Bombyx mori: one gene and its partners. Each later gene encodes a partner of the first gene's protein in a complex. Links are inferred from orthologs where the notes say so. Each region holds a gene or a part of one and is shown on either strand. Other genes may lie near its edges.

What was found.
Region 2: ruvB-like 2 (region 1) and dynein axonemal assembly factor 10 share a complex: the UniProt entries of both Homo sapiens proteins name them as parts of the PAQosome complex. The link is inferred for Bombyx mori from reciprocal best matches to the Homo sapiens genes RUVBL2 and DNAAF10.
Region 3: ruvB-like 2 (region 1) and prefoldin subunit 2 share a complex: the UniProt entries of both Homo sapiens proteins name them as parts of the PAQosome complex. The link is inferred for Bombyx mori from reciprocal best matches to the Homo sapiens genes RUVBL2 and PFDN2.

What each region holds. Positions count from the first base shown.
Region 1 is NC_085117.1:3,008,096-3,014,624, reverse strand, and holds the start of ruvB-like 2, read right to left. Parts: upstream 4,093-6,529; 5' UTR 3,904-4,092; coding exon 3,898-3,903; intron 3,778-3,897; coding exon 3,591-3,777; intron 3,291-3,590; coding exon 3,174-3,290; intron 2,502-3,173; coding exon 2,420-2,501; intron 1,545-2,419; coding exon 1,382-1,544; intron 908-1,381; coding exon 811-907; intron 1-810. UniProt on the Homo sapiens protein: Possesses single-stranded DNA-stimulated ATPase and ATP-dependent DNA helicase (5' to 3') activity; hexamerization is thought to be critical for ATP hydrolysis and adjacent subunits in the ring-like structure contribute to the ATPase activity.
Region 2 is NC_085131.1:9,118,074-9,123,430, forward strand, and holds the start of dynein axonemal assembly factor 10, read right to left. Parts: upstream 4,059-5,357; 5' UTR 3,957-4,058; coding exon 3,673-3,956; intron 3,591-3,672; coding exon 3,463-3,590; intron 3,115-3,462; coding exon 2,897-3,114; intron 2,135-2,896; coding exon 2,012-2,134; intron 1,073-2,011; coding exon 960-1,072; intron 39-959; coding exon 1-38. UniProt on the Homo sapiens protein: Key assembly factor specifically required for the stability of axonemal dynein heavy chains in cytoplasm.
Region 3 is NC_085129.1:193,949-199,422, forward strand, and holds prefoldin subunit 2, read left to right. Parts: upstream 1-1,416; 5' UTR 1,417-1,772; coding exon 1,773-1,906; intron 1,907-1,988; coding exon 1,989-2,286; 3' UTR 2,287-3,824; downstream 3,825-5,474. Other genes in the region: molybdenum cofactor biosynthesis protein 1, read right to left, coding at 4,684-5,073, 5,151-5,474. UniProt on the Homo sapiens protein: Binds specifically to cytosolic chaperonin (c-CPN) and transfers target proteins to it. Binds to nascent polypeptide chain and promotes folding in an environment in which there are many competing pathways for nonnative proteins.

The DNA of each region.
Region 1 (6,529 bases):
CTGATTCTCTCGCCGGCTGAATCCTATACATATATGTGTTTGTGTCTCTATGGACTTATTTTTTCGTTTCGTTTCATTTCGTTTCATCGAGTTTGAAATCACAACGATTCTAAAGAAGTGACACTTCAAAACTTCCAGCGAAGTACTAAATTAAAACTCTATTAAGCACTTAGAATACTTAAGGAACACTTTATAATTCGCACTTCACTTCTTCCGCTTCGCTTCGAGTAGATTCGAGTCGATTACTAACTGCCTTCGTGTCATCTCTTTTATAGCTTTTATAGCCAGGACAACATCTCTACAATTACCGAGAACATTCCTGGTAGGACCAGTCGTTTCGATAGGTGTTTCCGCTATTTGATAATAGATGCAAGTTACACTTCTCGAGCATTCCCGATTTTATTAGTTCTTTTAATATTCGTTTTTGCTATTCGGCGACAGATGGCATTATTATTATCAGCGTAATAAGAACTTAATGCAAATTATTGTATAATCATCGGTCCTTGACACAAGTGAAAATTTTCAAGTCGATCAAACATCTTAAGCAATTTGAAAGAATCCGTTACATACAATTGATTTGTCAGATTTTTTTTTTATTTTTTTTTTGTGCAGGCATTTTACTATAGGCAGACGAGCATACGGCCTACTTGATGGGAAGCAGTTACCGTCACCCATGGACCTCAGCAATGTCAGGAGCAGAGCCAAGTCGCTGCCTACCGTATATCTAGTGTTTGTTTAAAGATAGGCTCCTTCCAAATCATTCCTTTCACATTGTCTTCGATACATTGGCAATTCAATATAGCTGCTCACCGGTAGCATCATAGTCTCTGGCTCTGGCAAAACTCCTGCCGAGCTTGTTTATTTTGCCTGTAGCCTTGTCTATGGTGATCACATCTCCGGCTTGAACCTGTCAACAAGAAAATCGTTCAGCAACTAGTTCGGACCTAGCAAGCTAGAGTCTAGTCAGCAAGTATGTGGCTTATTTGGTATTAAATAGTTACTGGATCTCATGGACATCAACAAGGTGGTGAGGTTACTTGAACTAGGTTAACTAGGTTATATATTATATTATATACTATAACGAATACAGCTAAATCAGTCAAGCAGTTTTTAATCCACTGAGTTTCTCACCAGATCTTCTGAGTGAATCGCAATTCCGATCCGGTGTTAGATACAGCGAAGCACTGCTCTTGCTAAGGTTAGTATTAGAGTCCCGTGAGCTCACCTACTTGTTAGGTTACGTGAATATAGCTTCTCAACGTTACCAGAGTACGTAGGAAAAAAAAAAACTGACCGTATCTCTACCGAGCAATATCACCAACTCAGTGGAAGATTTTCGCTTTGTCGATAAACCTTAGTACCAGAGTACCATATATCAGACCTTCTCTTTAAGCAGCGAATCAATCATTTTGGCTCCCATGTCGTAGTTCGTTTCCATGTCGGTGGTCTTGAGGGTGAGACGGCCGACCCTGGCGCCGCCGCCCCCCGCCGCACGCTCCACTACCACCTCGACGACCTCCCCTTCAATTATCTCAGACTCCTCCCTGCGATTACGAATAATAAAATATCAATAAGGCAACGCTGGTACAAAAATCATATCGAAGGGTGAAAGTGGTCCAGCGGTCATCGTTCTTCAACCCACTGAGTTTCTCGCCGGATCTTCTCAGTAGGTAGCGATCCGGTGGCAGATTCTGAGAAGCTAGGCTCTTGCTAGGGTTCGTCTTAGCAACGTCATCAGGTTTGAGCCCTGTGGGCTAACCTACTCGCCCGGTGACGCTGACATAACCTCTCAAAGCTATCAGATAAGGTAGGAAAGAAAAACACACACACACACAAACATTAAAAAGACGTAAAGTCTAAACGACGTAACTAACTTTGAACGTCATTCTCAAGCTATAATGCGTTTCGCTTTGAAGGGTGGGGCCAGCCGTTGTTCTAAAGAACTCACGTCTCAAGATGACAATTACGTCATTGATGTCCACTGACCTCCATGGGCCGTGAGCATATTCACCCGTTTCAACGATGAAAAAATGAAATAAAAACCGTAAAAAAGTAATTTCGAATATACATACAATAATTCACATAGATTAAAGACATGAGTGGATGAAGGGGTTAAGTACAATTTTTAAGATTTTTGAGTTTTTACTTTGGATGAAGGTGTTATGTGCCTATAAACCATATTAGACCTTAAAACGCCAGGTTTAAAGGTTATATTTAGAAATTGAGGAAGGAGTTGTGTACGAAGAAAAAGTACAAGAAAGAAACGTTTTCTCAAAATTAACAAATTGTATCATATCCCCCTCATCCACTTATGTTTTCATGTAATATATGTTTACAATGTACCATACAAATTCTTAGTTAGTGCAATAGTAGTAGTAGTTAGTGGTATGTATAATGAACAATATAAAATTTTACTTACTTAATTCTAATACCTATAGACTTCCTGATGGCCTGCGTTAGAGCCTCAGTTTTACTCATTTCCAAAGAGAATATCTCCGAACCTGTCAAAGAGAAAACAATATAAATTTATTTCAATAAAATTAAATAGTTATTTTTTACTCTACCCATTTGCTAGTTTCCTATCGAACTATTCAGCTCCACCCGGACGGTTTATGAGCTCATTGGGTCAGCCTGAGAAATTTTGCTAATAAGCAAGCAAATATGGCCAAGCTAATGGATGAGAATCGCGATCAGCTAAGATCGGACGAGAAACTCACTGGGTTGTGTTTATGGATATATAAAAGTGAGAAACTAGGATATATTCATTGATGAGCGTCTTTCAAAGCTAACCATAAGTAACTTGAATCTCATGAAGATAGCTGAAACCAAAGCTGATCATGGTGGTAACAAAAATATCTAATTTACAGCAGAAGTTTTAGTCAGCCACACTCGCAAATTGATTTATTAAGGAACAATTAACATAGTACCATACAAATTATGCATTTTGATTTATTTATTAATTCTCTAATGCAATTAACACTTATTTTAGAATTATCAACTAAATGTAAAAAAACAACTGTGCCTGAATTATGTATTTAGAACATAATGCAGCTTAAATTTAAGGCAAACAAACTAACGAAATAAATTGAGGACTGACAAAAAAAAAGGTGAGTTGTATTAAAAAAAAAACACATGTAAATAATAAAAAAAGATGGTGGAATTGTTTCACTCACCGGCCATGCTCGTAAATGGTGTGTCCGGTCCCAGAGCTTGTGCTAGTCCCATAGCGATGGCAGTCTTCCCTGTACCAGGCTGACCGGCCAATAACACTGCTCGTCCCGCTATCTTACCTATAATTACAATATTGTAGATGTATGTGATATAAATTCACCTGTTGACCGGGCTGCGCTTAACTGGCGCCCACAAGGTTCCACTCAGTTTTTTATTACTCTACACTGCTTATCTAAACAAATTAGTTAAGTGATGAAAGAATATTATAACAAAAGGACATAGCAGTACCATAGAAAACGAGTTCATAAACATAACATTTTAGCTCCTAAGCCGCAAACTGTTTAATTGAAAAAAAAGTTTGAAAATTTCTTGTTACCTAGCAACTGTATTGTTTGATCAAAAAGTTTCCTTTAGGATACCTTCTCGAATCATCTGTAAGATGACTCCGGCGGCCTTCCTTGCCATCTTCTGGCCGACCATGCCCTGCGATACTTGTCTTGGCTCCAAAGAGTCATCTAAGCCCAGTCCTCTAATGTGGGAATGCGCGCCAATTCTCTCGATGCGCGTTATAGAACGCACTTCTTGTACTTGCGCCGCTGCTATTGACTAAAACGTACAATGACTTTTTTATTCTGAAGGAAAATCCCAATTTTACAATTTTTGAGGTTATGATTTCAGTTTAAATACACACTATTTACGAATTATACATAAAGCTTAGATACTTACAGCCATTTTCGTGGTATTTTAAACACTAGTGAGGTAGTTTTAATACTAATTAACTATGTTTTAAATGTAATTTTCACAAAAACAAATGCGGCGCTTTTGCGTGTTTGGTCTCCAAACAAATTTAACAAAACAGATTATACTACGTTAATGACATGACACTGACATTTGATTCGTCGTATACTTCGATGATCGCGACTGACAGCTGTCACCGAATGTATGTTTTCGTTAAGTTTCGATGTTAGATAGTTTTTTAGTTAGTTCGTCGTGCCACCTAATCCATGCGTTAGCCCGCTGAGTTTCTCGGTGGATATTCTCAGCGGGTTGCGATTCCGATCTAGTAGTAGATTCATTCGTAAAGCAGCTGTTTTTAGGTTGTAGGTCTCCTTTGAAGGCGCTTAGGAGCTGTTAGCAAATCCTAGCCCCCCTGGCTGAGCCTTTGTTCACCCATCTGTCCTGGTGAAATTGGAAAAGCCTCCGGGCCACCAGTAATCCCTCATTCATAAAAAAATTATCTCAAAAGACTTTCATGGTATTTTTAACAAAAATAACTCTGAATAAGAGAAAAGCTTATTTTTAATAGCCTTTTTCAAACACAATAGACATATAAACCAAGAGAACATCATTTCACTATGAATTTGATAAGATTTTCATAAACAAATTTTTAATATCGTTTTTTTTAACACCGAAACATTGTAGGACCATCCCTAATCAAACCAGCTCTCACTTTCATACAGCCACGGCTTTCACTCTATTTTTTATATATTTCGTTAGCTATACGACCTTATAGCTAGCCTATTAAGTTACCAGAGTGCGTAGACATCACAGTGGCTGAAGTCTCGTTTAATCACTGAAGTAGGAAACCTATGGAAATGAAACGTCAACAAAAAATTCGTGCCACTGTGACGTCATCTGGCCACAAAAGATGGCGGTTTTAGTGCTGCCCAGATGATTTTAATGTTAGTAGGTTTTATCGATAAACGTTCTTGGCTCATTTTATTTTAAATATTGTTGAGTGAATGTATTTGTCGAATTTATACTTTAATAGGAAGTAAGTATATTGTTATGTGCAAAGATGATGTGATTTAGATATTATGTGTAATCTAAGACGAGTTCGTGCTTTAAATTTGCCAAGTAAACGATATGACGATTTTTAAAATTTGCTACACTAATTTTATAAAGTTGTCGTTTGCCGCAAAACATAAAGATATGGCGTAGTACAGTGCCATCTGCCCATTTCGAGCATGCTGAATGATATCGTATTTTGAGTACGTGTTTTTCTTAGACTATTACAATCTATTTTAATTGTTTTGCTGACTCTAAAGTCCGTAACACACTACCGCAGCGCACCTCAAGGAAGGTACGCCGCACCATTTTAAACTTATCAAGGGACCGCCTGATAAAAAAAACACCTACAAAACATTTATTCGTTAATAAAATTACAAACATTCCTTGTGACTTCCTCTCTAAAATCACTTAATTATTAAATATTAAACGAGTTGACAATAGTGTTATAAAACTATTTTATTTAAATAGTTCCGACGACTTTCTTGAGATCCTATAAAATATGTTTTAATTATTATTTTTGTATGTTTTAAGCATGATAAAATAAGAAATTTTATATAAGCAATCATATTAAATCGATATCAAAGTCAATAAATAATGTAAAACCCAAAACAGACGGCCGAACTGACGTGACAATGACATTTGGCGCGCTAAACATGGCGGATTTTCGGCCTCATTAGACGGAGACGGAGACATTTACGTATATTCATGTTTCATTTTATGTACGCACTGAAATACTGTTATATTGTTTTCCTGCGAGTTAAAGTGGTGAGTAAGAACGAGATAGATATATGTTTATGTATGTGCCTTCAAAATGGGTGCTATTTATATAAGCAATTGTACGTATAGAACAATATGTCGTGTCCCTACTATATAGGTCTATGCGTTTAATTCGATCTCAATTGATTACAGTCACAAATAATTGACAAATAAATCAACTTCATTTCATTCCCCTTCATGTCATTTTTTTTATTTTTTATTTTTTATTGATTTGATGGGTGGACGAGCTCACAGCCCACCTGGTGTTAAGTGGTTACTGGAGCCCATAGACATCTACAACGTAAATGCGCCACCCACCTAAATATATAACAGAATATATATATTTTTTGTATCATGTTGCTACCGGTCAGAACATTAGAGCGAAGTTATAAATTTATTGCAATATCATCGATCCTGGATGCGCGTACGAATTCACCTATTTAATTGGATGTCGTGAAGTCGATGAAAATGACGTTTAAAGATTCCGTTACATACAAACAAACATAAGGGGCTATTTCAACGCTATTTCAAACGTTAACCTAAGGGGCTATTTCAACTTCACGCGGACGTGTAGGTGAGCTCACAGGCTCAACCTGAGAGAATTGCTAACACAGCCCTAGCAAGAGCAGTGCATCGTTGAATTTACCACCGGATCTGAATCGCGGCCCATTGAGAAGATTCGGCGAGAAACTCAGTTGGGTTGTGTATAAATTTTTTTTCTACCTATGCTGATAGCCTCGAGAGGCTATTTCGGCTTCTCCTTGACGTGTAGGTGAGCTCATGGGGCAAATCGGGAGTGTAGCTAACACTG
Region 2 (5,357 bases), on another chromosome or scaffold:
CCTCGGTGTCCACCCGGAACCTCTGTACCGGGTATTCACTGTAACAAACGAATTGTGTATTGTAACCCACGCCAAAAATAAAGAGAGGTAGAAGCTCTACCTTGCTTTGCTACAAAACATATCGCTAAGCCGGCTAAACAGTTATAATGCGTCTCTTTTCTTTTTTTCCTACCTAAGCTGATAACCTTAGGAGGCTATGTCAGCATAACCTAACAAGTAGGTGAGCTCACGGGGCTCAAACCTGGGGGCGTTGCTAACACTATGAGCAAAAGCAGTGCTTCGCAGAATCTACCACCGGATCGAAAACGCGACTGAGAAGATCCGGCGAGAAATTATTGGTTGAATACGTCTCTCTGATTTGTTGAAATTACTGGCATACTACCGGCCATCTATTCTTCGCTTTATTTAATATATCGCTAATTGACTCAGAGTCGGACACACATTTGTATGATGAACAGATTTGTTTCCTCTTTAATGATGGTTAACATCTATGAAGTACCTATTTAAATAAGTATGTATATCTGGTAGCCATAGAACAAGGAATGTTTGGGACCAATGTGTTTAGTGCGAGTTTTTTAACGTTCTCGATAGCGTAAAAGTTAACTTAAATTAGTTGGAACAGCGCCCCTAGCGGCAAACGTAGGCAGACGTTCCAAGTCCATACAAAGTAGCGTTAACTTTTACACTATCGAGAACGTTACAAAGCTCGCACTAAGCACACAGATGACCGTGTGTTGCTTTTTCCTGAGTTTCTATAAAAAAATGCTTATCTTCTATACTTCTGCGCGGTGTTTGTACAATGCAATTGAATATATGTTTAGTTATAGTAAACTTCTACACGAAAGCTTCTGATATAATTTTTATACTATAACTATGAACCTACAGTAGTAGATGCCCGATGCAACAATGACCGGGAAGTCCTACTTTGAACTGATCATAAGGCAAAATCAAAGTCTTACTATTTCCACAATGTGACTTGCCCATTACCAGCACACGTCATAAACAAGTCACGGTTCTGAGGGATGTGTCGCGCAATCCATATCGTACCGCTCTTCGTTGAATTATCCACCACCTGGACACAGATATATTGAGATAGATATATTTTTAAAAATTAACCTATAACATTAATTAATCACTCAAAATCAAAACGTATGGCTTTTAGTTTAATAAATTTAGTTTATTAAGAGCAGCATTGTTTCATGAATATTATGGAAGAACGGTAATTATTTTTTTTTTTTTTTTTTTTTTTTTTTTATTGCTTAGATGTGTGGACGAGCTCACAGCCCACCTGGTGTTAAGTGGTTACTGGAGCCCATAGACATCTACAACGTAAATGCGCCACACACCTTGAGATATAGTTCTAAGGTCTCAGTATTAGTCACAACGGCTGCCCCACCCTTCAAACCGAAACGCATTACTGCTTCACGGCAGAAATAGGCGGGGCGGTGGTACCTACCCGTGCGGACTCACAAGAGGTCCTACCACCAGTAATTACGCAAATTATAATTTTGCGGGTTTGATTTTTATAGCACGATGTTATTCCTTCACCGTGGAAGTCAATCGTGAACATTTGTTGAGTACGTATTTCATTAGAAAAATTGGTACCCGCCTGCGAGATTCGAACACCGGTGCATCGCTCGATACGAATGCACCGGACGTCTTATCCTTTAGGCCACGACGACTTTTAAATTAACTGATGTAACTATAGATTGTGCTTTTAATATATTAAGGTCCATGGATTCTGATGAATAGAGATACAGCCCATCTATTGCTGAGATAACAGACACTGCAATGTGAAGAATTCTGCCAAATACATAGAGTAGATAAACTTTCAAAGAAATTGGAACAACAGCTGTACTATAGTATACACCAGAACATGTGATTTAATGGTGGTAAAAATAGATAAGGCAGGGGTAGGAAAATTCAAATTTAACAATGCTCTGCATTGCATGCAATCTTCATATTTATTTCTCAAAGACATTCCTTGCTGGTCAGTAAAACATTAGGTTACCTGAGCAAATCCTTTAGTTGGATTTTGAGTCCTCACATCAAAAACATGAAACTTCCCTTCAAGTGTGGTTGCCACTAATTTATTCATTGGAATATCTTTACGATCGAATTCTAAGGAACATACCTAAACAAACAAAAATTCTTCAATATTTATCTATTAATTTTGACTTAGATATAATTTAATATATATATATATATATATTTTTTTTTTTATTGCTTACGTGGGTGGATGAGCTCACAGGCCACCTGGTGTTAAGTGGTTACTGGAGCCCATAGACATTTATAATGCAAATGCGCCACCCACCTTGAGATATAAGTTCTAAGGTCTCTGTATAGTTACAACGGCTGCCCCACCCTTCAAGCCGAAACGCATTACTGCTTCACGTCAGAAATAGGCGGGGTAGTGGTACCTACCTGTGCGGACTCACATGAGGTCCTACCACCAGTTATATAAATATATATCTCTATTGCAAAACAACCTATCAAGCTAATTTAGGATATATCATAAACTACAAAGAATTAAAACACACACAGATAATAACAAGTCATTGTTCATCAGAGTACCAGTTGAGATAATGATAAAAATTTCGAGATTAACTGAATTTATTTACTTCAATTGTGTTGATGTTTTCTTAAATAATTACTCACATTAAAATTAAAATGAACTCCCTCCCCCACTACTGTGACTTTTTGAAAAATATAACACATCTTTCTTAGGACAAGATTAAAGTGAATAACTACTGCTACTATACAACTAGTAATGACCCTGTATTTACTGATGTTAACAGGTTTCAGTAACAACTTTTTATCATGCATGTTGTATAATATGCCTATTGCGAGTTGTGACATAAAAATCTTAAATTTAGTCTTGAAATTACATACTTACTCCATTCTTCAAATTACATTCCCACCTAAGTGACATTGTTCTCAAATCAAACATTTTAAGATCTCCATTGTCATAACCAGCAACTACAATCCTTTCAGAATCATTAAATGAGTTTCCGAAGCCAACAGCCCAGCAATCCCTTCTAGTCTCACCTTGCATTGGTTGCATGTTTGCAACAGGTTTACCTCTTTGCCTTGGATCCCAAACCTTTACTGTTCCTATAATTTCAGTAATTATTATGTTATCACTACCATTTTTATTTTTCCTAAAGAGTTTTAAACCCAATGTCTGTTTCTCTGATTACTTATTCTAAATGACTTAACAAATTTTGATACTATTTTCAAAGATATAAATAGAAGTGTGAGAAAGGTTTGTGTATAAAATTTGTAAATATTTTGGACAAAATCAAAATCTGATGAGGATAAAAAAAAAACTATCCCAGTATGTCAACATGGCTAATGGTAGTCAAATCTTAGAAGGTATTGTAATATTGATTTAGAAAATCTACTCATCACCACACGAGTACCCTTTAATGTAACAGGATAATCCTTGGCATGAAACCTTACCATCTCTACTGCCAGTTACAATTTCAGGAGCTCCACAGTTGGTTGTGTTACCTCCCATCCCATCTATTGAGTTAATTATATCTGAATGTTCTTTTGTTATGTACACTTGGGAACCTTTTTCTAAGTCCCTATAGAAAATAAATTATTTATTAACATTCGATTTTTATGATTATCCGGAAAAAGTATGGATTTTATGATTTTGTTACAAACCATACTTCCAAAGTGCCTCTAAAGTCTCCAGTAGCAAATCGTCTCTCAATGTCGCTACTTGCTCCAAACGTTCCACATTTAAACGAGTTAGACCTCTCAATTTCTTTTATTTTCTTAATTTCTCCGGCGTTTATTTCAAATATTTCAATGGTACCCGAGCCTTTCGGTAAAGAACCAAGTACTATAAATTTAGCCGAACATGGTATCCACTTGCAATCAAATAGTGAATGGTTTAAGTTATTTTCAATATGGGTAATTATTTGGGGGGTATTCAATTCTTCCATGACTTAAAAATAGATATAAAAGAAATATTCAAAGGTTTATGCGAATCTTTAGCGAAAACAAACGTGACAGACAGCATTGGTTTTTGGTTGCTAGGCAACAGCATCATAGGCCACATAATATTGCTTTTTTTAAAAGATTTTATGACTTGGTAACTAAGACTTTTAGGTCATGTCTTATTTTAATTAGTATTCTTATTTTTATGAAAAATTATAAATATTATGGAGTGAATGAAGATGATTAGGTAATTTGAGACATTAATCAACTGGGATGAAATTAAATGAATTGAAATGAGATGATGTGGGATGAAATATCAGTAAAATGGTGGTGGTCATTCATTTACTGAGATTTTTTCAGCGGACTTGTTGGAGGATCCCGAGAAGTTACGTCCAGCGGCTTTGTTTCATTTTCCCAGATTTGTCCACTTTCACATATATTAAACTGTTAATAAACCACCGTTATTACACATTTAAACCTGAAGAAACACTAAATAGACAAAATAAAACAAATCACACAATTTCACTTCTTGCGTTCCCGCCAAAAAGTCCATATAATATTTTACGCAAGTCTCAAAAAATATTAAATTTTCAACCCAGCACACTTCACTCTGCTTAAGCCTCCCATGTTCCTATCATTTCCATTTCCTAGACTAGCGCTAATTTAGTTATTCTTTTTTATAAAGCCTTGATGGGGGACTAACTCACAGTCCACTTGGCGTTAAGTGGTAACGGCAGCCCGTAGATCTACAACGTAAATGCCGCCACCCACCTCGAGACATGAGTTGTAAGGAACAATACAGCAGCTGCCCCACCCTTCAAACCGAAACGCATTACTATTTCACGGCAAAAATAGGCAGGATGGTGGTACCTACCCGTTCGGACTCATAAGACGTACTACCACCAGTAATCTTCTAACATTTTTCAGCTTCTCCCCTACTCAAGATGGTGCTCCTTACTTCTTTCTACCCTTCATAAGTTTTAGAGACACTAAAAGGTTAATACTTGAATTATCATTTCAAATTTTAACCTGATTAAAACCTCTGAAAAATCTTTCTTCTTTTTTAAATCACTTTCCGTCCTTCAGTTCGATTTTTTGTTACAATAGACTTGGCATTATGGGCCCTTTTTGTCTTTGGAACAGACCATTCAATCAAATTCTCAACTTTGATTATCCCATGTGTCAAACGACAATTTTATAGCTTGGAAAATTGTGGCCAAACTTTATATTTCAATAACTTTCTAAAAATATGAGGAAATGAAAAGAAAATTGAAAAAAAAATTACGAGTCTAAAGAATGAATGAAGTTATTTATTTGAAAAAAGAATAAAATTTGTTAAATAAAAAATAAAAACTTCCTTGGGTGCTAGCAGTTGTTAGTGTCATTGAATCGGTTTTGAAATAAAG
Region 3 (5,474 bases), on another chromosome or scaffold:
ACGTCACCCTCGACAGAGAAATGACATTCCGCCCCCACTTGAAGACGGTACGTGATCATGCCGCCTTCATACTAGGATGTCTCTACACTCTCTATCCGATGATATGCAGGCGAAGTAAATTATCCCTTAGAAATAGGGTGACACTCTACAAAACTTGCGTACGCCCTGATATGACCTATGCAAGCGCAGTGTTCGCTCACGCGGCCCGCACTAGCTTAAAATCATTCCAAGTTATTCAATCCCGTTTTTGCAGGATAGCCGTCGGAGCTCCACGACGACCTGGACTTAGAGTCCATCAGTAAGTATCTTCAGTCGGCGTCAATGCGCCACTTCGATAAAGCGGCACGACACGAGAACCCTCTCATCGTGGCCGTCGGTAACTACAATCCCGATCCTGCGGTGAGAATGGAAAGCTGTCGACGTCGCCCCAAACACGTCATTTCGGATCCTCCCGATCCACTAACAGTGCTTTTAAGTACCTCAAGCACCGGTCATCGTTCTCGTCGAACCCGTCATCGTTCTCGTCGAACCCGTCGCTTGCGACGAAGGGCTCGACGAATAAAGTAACCCTCAGACACAGCCCACTGAGTTTCTCGTCGGTTCTTCTCAATGGGTCGCGTTTCCGATCAGGTGGTAGATTCTGCGAAGCACGGCTCTTGCTAGGGTTTGTGTTAACAACATCATCCGGCTTGAGCCCCGTGAGCTCACCTACTAGTTAAGGCGACACTGATATAGCCTCTCAAGGCTATCAGCATAGGTAGGAAAAAAATAATCTAATCATACTTACTTGGCGTAGGGATACGGTGATCATGCAGGCGGTTTCCCCCAGGGTGAGGCTGCTCCATTGCACTATGGAGTGGTTGACCCTTGCGATAATTTTTATTTTTTAAAGGTTTCACTTCTACCGTGTGTGACTTGCACACACGTCACACATACATTTTTTTTTTCTTATCTAAGCTGGGTATTACGGATAAAATGTTCCTACCTATAGTCCTAACCTTGCACCTTCAGACTTCCACCTGTTTCGATCTCTTCAGAATTTTTTAGGCATTGTCAGGTTAACATCACGAGAGGACTGCCAAAACCAATTGTCGCGGTATTTTGATCGGAAGCCCCATAGCAATGGGATCATGTCCCTACCTACAAGATGGCAAAAAGTTATCGAACAAAATGGTACCTACATACTTTAGTTAAATGTAAATAAACAATATTAAAAAATGTGAATTTTCTTAAAAAATGCGAAGAAACTTTTTCCCCAACTATTGTACTATTAGAACTTAGTAGTTTAAATTTTATTAGTAATAGACAAAGACTTTAATGCTTTTAATCTAAGGATTAGGATATTATCAAAATACGTCCCAAAAATGCTTTTTAAATATAATAGATGCTTTTCAGGAGTTGGTTGTCATGACTCAAACTTATCTCAAGTGTTTCACAAACTATGGTCACAATTTATTTGAGGGTAAAGATTTTCTTGTGAAGTAATAAAAAAAAAAATTGCCTAAAAGGTAAAGTAGCCAGCGTTCGCAAAAAAAAAACTGACATGTACATTAATGTACATAACCTAATCCGTGTATTCGATAAAAACTAGTTAATTTGAGTTTTTGTTAATTTAAAATACATTTACATGTTCTTTTATTTTTAAAACTTTCAGTAAACCGTGATTATTTTTACTTTTCAAAGAGAGTTAAATTGATTACTCTTTTTTTAAAACTATATAAAAAAAAATCCTAAAATTTTGATTTCCATTTCCCCTACCTACCTAGAGTAAAATGGCTAAAAATACATCAAAAGTAGGAAAAAAAACGAATGAGGAAATCTTTGCTGGTTTCCAAACTCTTCGTAATGAACAACGTCAATTAGGGAGTAAAATATCAGAATTACAAATGGAGTTAAACGAACATAAGTGAGTAAATGTGGAATAAATCTATTGCATATCAATCTACTGCTTAAAAAAATACAAAATACATAGTAAATTATGTCTACAGGATCGTAATTGAGACTTTGCGGGGAGTGGAGTTGACCCGTAAGTGTTTCCGGATGTTTGGGGGCGTGCTTGTCGAACGCACCGTAGCTGAGGTGTTGCCAGAGCTGATCAGCAATTATGAACAGCTACCTAAGGCCATCCAGTCCCTAGAAGACCAACTCACTCAGAAGGGAGAGGAGATCAATAAATACATTGAGGAACATGATATTCGCATCCAACGTGCTGATCGCACCATGCCTGAACCACCTCCAGAGCAATCCACCTCTACCAAGTCTAATGTGCTAGTTGCTAGCGGTTAACTATACTGATCCTTTCATTTCATATAGCTGTCGCAGTGTATTGACAGTGAGACTAGTCCTACATTTGCCTAAAGCAGTGTGAGGTAGTACTGGGAAACTTTTTATTATTAACAATACTATTACGGTGTGGCTTGATAAATTAGTTCTGGCTGATGTTTAGGGGCAAGGGGGGCAAACATGGTATTATGAAGCAGTACTTTATGAATATGATGACAAGAAAAGGAAAATCTAACTGAATATCCATCTCAACCAGATAAATAAATCATTTTAGTGTGACAATACTCCAAGACACTTAACCACATATTTAAAGAAAGGAATACTACAGCGAAAACTCCACAGAGAATAATTAATTCCCCAGCTGAATGTGCTCAAATAATGTGGAATTAAACTCAATAAACAGTTTTTTCAGGCAGTAGAATATGAACCCTTGTCTAGTGGAAAGTAGTATGATAATAAACTTTAATAATAAAATAGATCTTGAACAACTTTTCAACACTTTTCATGGAATATGTAATACAAATGCAGAGAAGCAGTCTCTTTGTCCCAACAATTATGAGAATAGCTTCATTTAAGAAGTCAAGACAATATGGAGTTTTTTGTTGTTGTCCTCACCATTCTTTAACAATGTCTAAGGTGACAGTGATATATTTCTAATCAAAAACAATAAGCTTTGAATGTTTAAACTCTAAACATTAGAGTAATATATGAGAGAAAAATAATTTAAATAGTAAAATGTTTTCCACATTGTGCTATATGTATATTCCCAATGCTGTCACAGCATCTGAAGCTCACCTATGCAGAGTCAATGTGATTGGTAGGCAACTGTAATAAGTAGAAATATCACTGAAACCTTGAGAGTATTGTTTAACTGTGTACATAGCTTTAAGGTTTACTGCTATTTTGAAGTGTTTGGCCAGTTAACAAGCCTGAATGCCTGAATTTTTCATTTGCCCTTGCCCAGACGAGCATACGGCTCACCATTGCCAGGGGTAGAGCCAACTTACTGCCAACAATTTGAATGATATACTATACGCATGTCCGAGTTCAGAGATGAACTATGGCAATCAGGTAATAACTTTGTGTAAAAAGTCTCAACTGAAAAGTTAATAAGTTTGGATAATTTATTACTTGCACCATACTCTAAGTGAGCATGGTTAGATTATTACCTTATTTCTATGGACAACTATACAATATAATTAAAACTTCCTATACTCTTAGCAGGATGGTGACATTCATAATGTTGTCAGAGGTCTGATAAAATTTTAATACCAGGTGGGATGTCACAATAAAACAGTGACAACTTTTTCTGTTTCATCAGGTGAATTTTAATATGATTATAAAACATGATCATGGCTAGATTCATATTTGGTTTTAATTTTTGGAACCTTAAAATTTATTGTTACTTAAAATAAAAATAGCCAGGAATAACAAGAAACTTTATTTTATAATATAGAAAAGAATAACTAAACAAAAAAAAGTGTACTAATATTTATTTCATGTAAAGTAATTTTGTATAAAATATATTTCTGAAAAATTCATTTTTGTAGTTTGGACTTGTAAGGGTCTGACGACTAATCTCCAATACTGTTGATACCACAGAGGATAACAAACAATTGGCATGCAAGTCCTTTCGTTGACATGTTTATTGTAATCCAAACTTTACATTTAGTCGGGCCCTGCCTTCTTACCTCCATGTATCAGGTGGGGTATTAGAAACCACAGTGGATGGATTTAGGTTTTTTTACAATGTTTCCACTTAAAATAGTTCTGAGTGTTGTGCTGGCGAACTATGGCGTCTAGTGGAGCCGCACGGCGGGCGCCACTAACATCCATTTTATTCCAAGAAGCAGTTACGTTCAGGTAAGGTGGAACCTTCAAAAGCAATTGAGATTTCGAACTCATATTTCTAGGAACGAAATGAAGTAGAATGAATATTAGAAGGCCATACAGTTAGTTGGCCGAGCAATTCGCATAATATCCCGCGCACAGCACATCTAAATGTCTTACAATTTAACAGCTTTGACTGTTCCTCAAGTTTGTTGATATACCAGTCATATATGATGATGTTCTATGATAATCCAAAATAATTGCAATCTAACATTCTGCATTCCGTTAGCATTGTGTTATGTCCGTGAGAGGCGCAGCCGGAGCCCAGTGTGAGAAGATTCTAATGTCGCATTTGATTAACATGTATTTAAATTATAATAAAATTTGAAGACTTAACGTTGTTTTTTATTAACATCCAGTAGTTAATTTTGTTCTTGGTTAATATTGTACAATAGCACCATTACCTTAAAAGCTAAATTCATAACCACGAAGTAAAGCACGAGGAGGAGCGAGGGCACAGCGTTACCGCGGCGCGGCACTACCCACTAGTCACAGGTTTGTGGTGACCAGTTAGAAGTGTGCGAGGTCGGTGGGCGCGTAGGTCTCCTTGGGGTCGAGCGGGGTCGTGTCGGGGGCGCGCAGGGGCGGCGGGGGCGAGCGGGCGCGCGGGGTCGACCCGCCCGACTTGTGCACCACGCGCAGCTCCGACACCGACATGTGCTTGTCCACCGCCTTGCACATGTCGTACAGCGCCAGCGCGGCCACCGCCGCCCCCACCAGCGCCTCCATCTCCACCCCCGTGCGGCCCTCCGCCCCCACCTCGCAGCGCACCCGCACCGCGCCCCCCGCCGCGCACTCCCCGCCGGGCAGCGACACCCGCACGCGCACCAGCTCCAGCGCCAGCGGGTGGCAGAGCGGGATCAGATCGGACGTGCGCTTTGCGCCCAGCACTCCCGCGATCTGTAAGGAGTGTTTGACTTAATCATTCATTTTAAAGATTCCATTTGGGTCTGCATCGAATTCGAGAAATAAATTACTTCGGCAACGGTGAGCGCGTCTCCCTTGGGCATGGCGGCGTCCCGGAGCAGGCGCAGCAGGCGGCCGCCGACGCGCAGCTCGCACTCGGCGGCGGCGGCGCGCTGCGTGCGCGGCTTGGAGCTGACGTCCACCATGCGGGCGCGGCCCTGCGCGTCCAGGTGCGAGAGGCGGGCGGGCGGCTCGGACCCCCCGGACCCCCGCGACCCCCCCGTGCAGTAAGCGCGCGCCTGTAGCCGGCCGCTCCCCCCGACCCCCTGTACTTTGAACGCGCGCCCGTCTCTCGAGGTTAAGTCACCTACCCGCCTATGAGAATCATGGGCCGG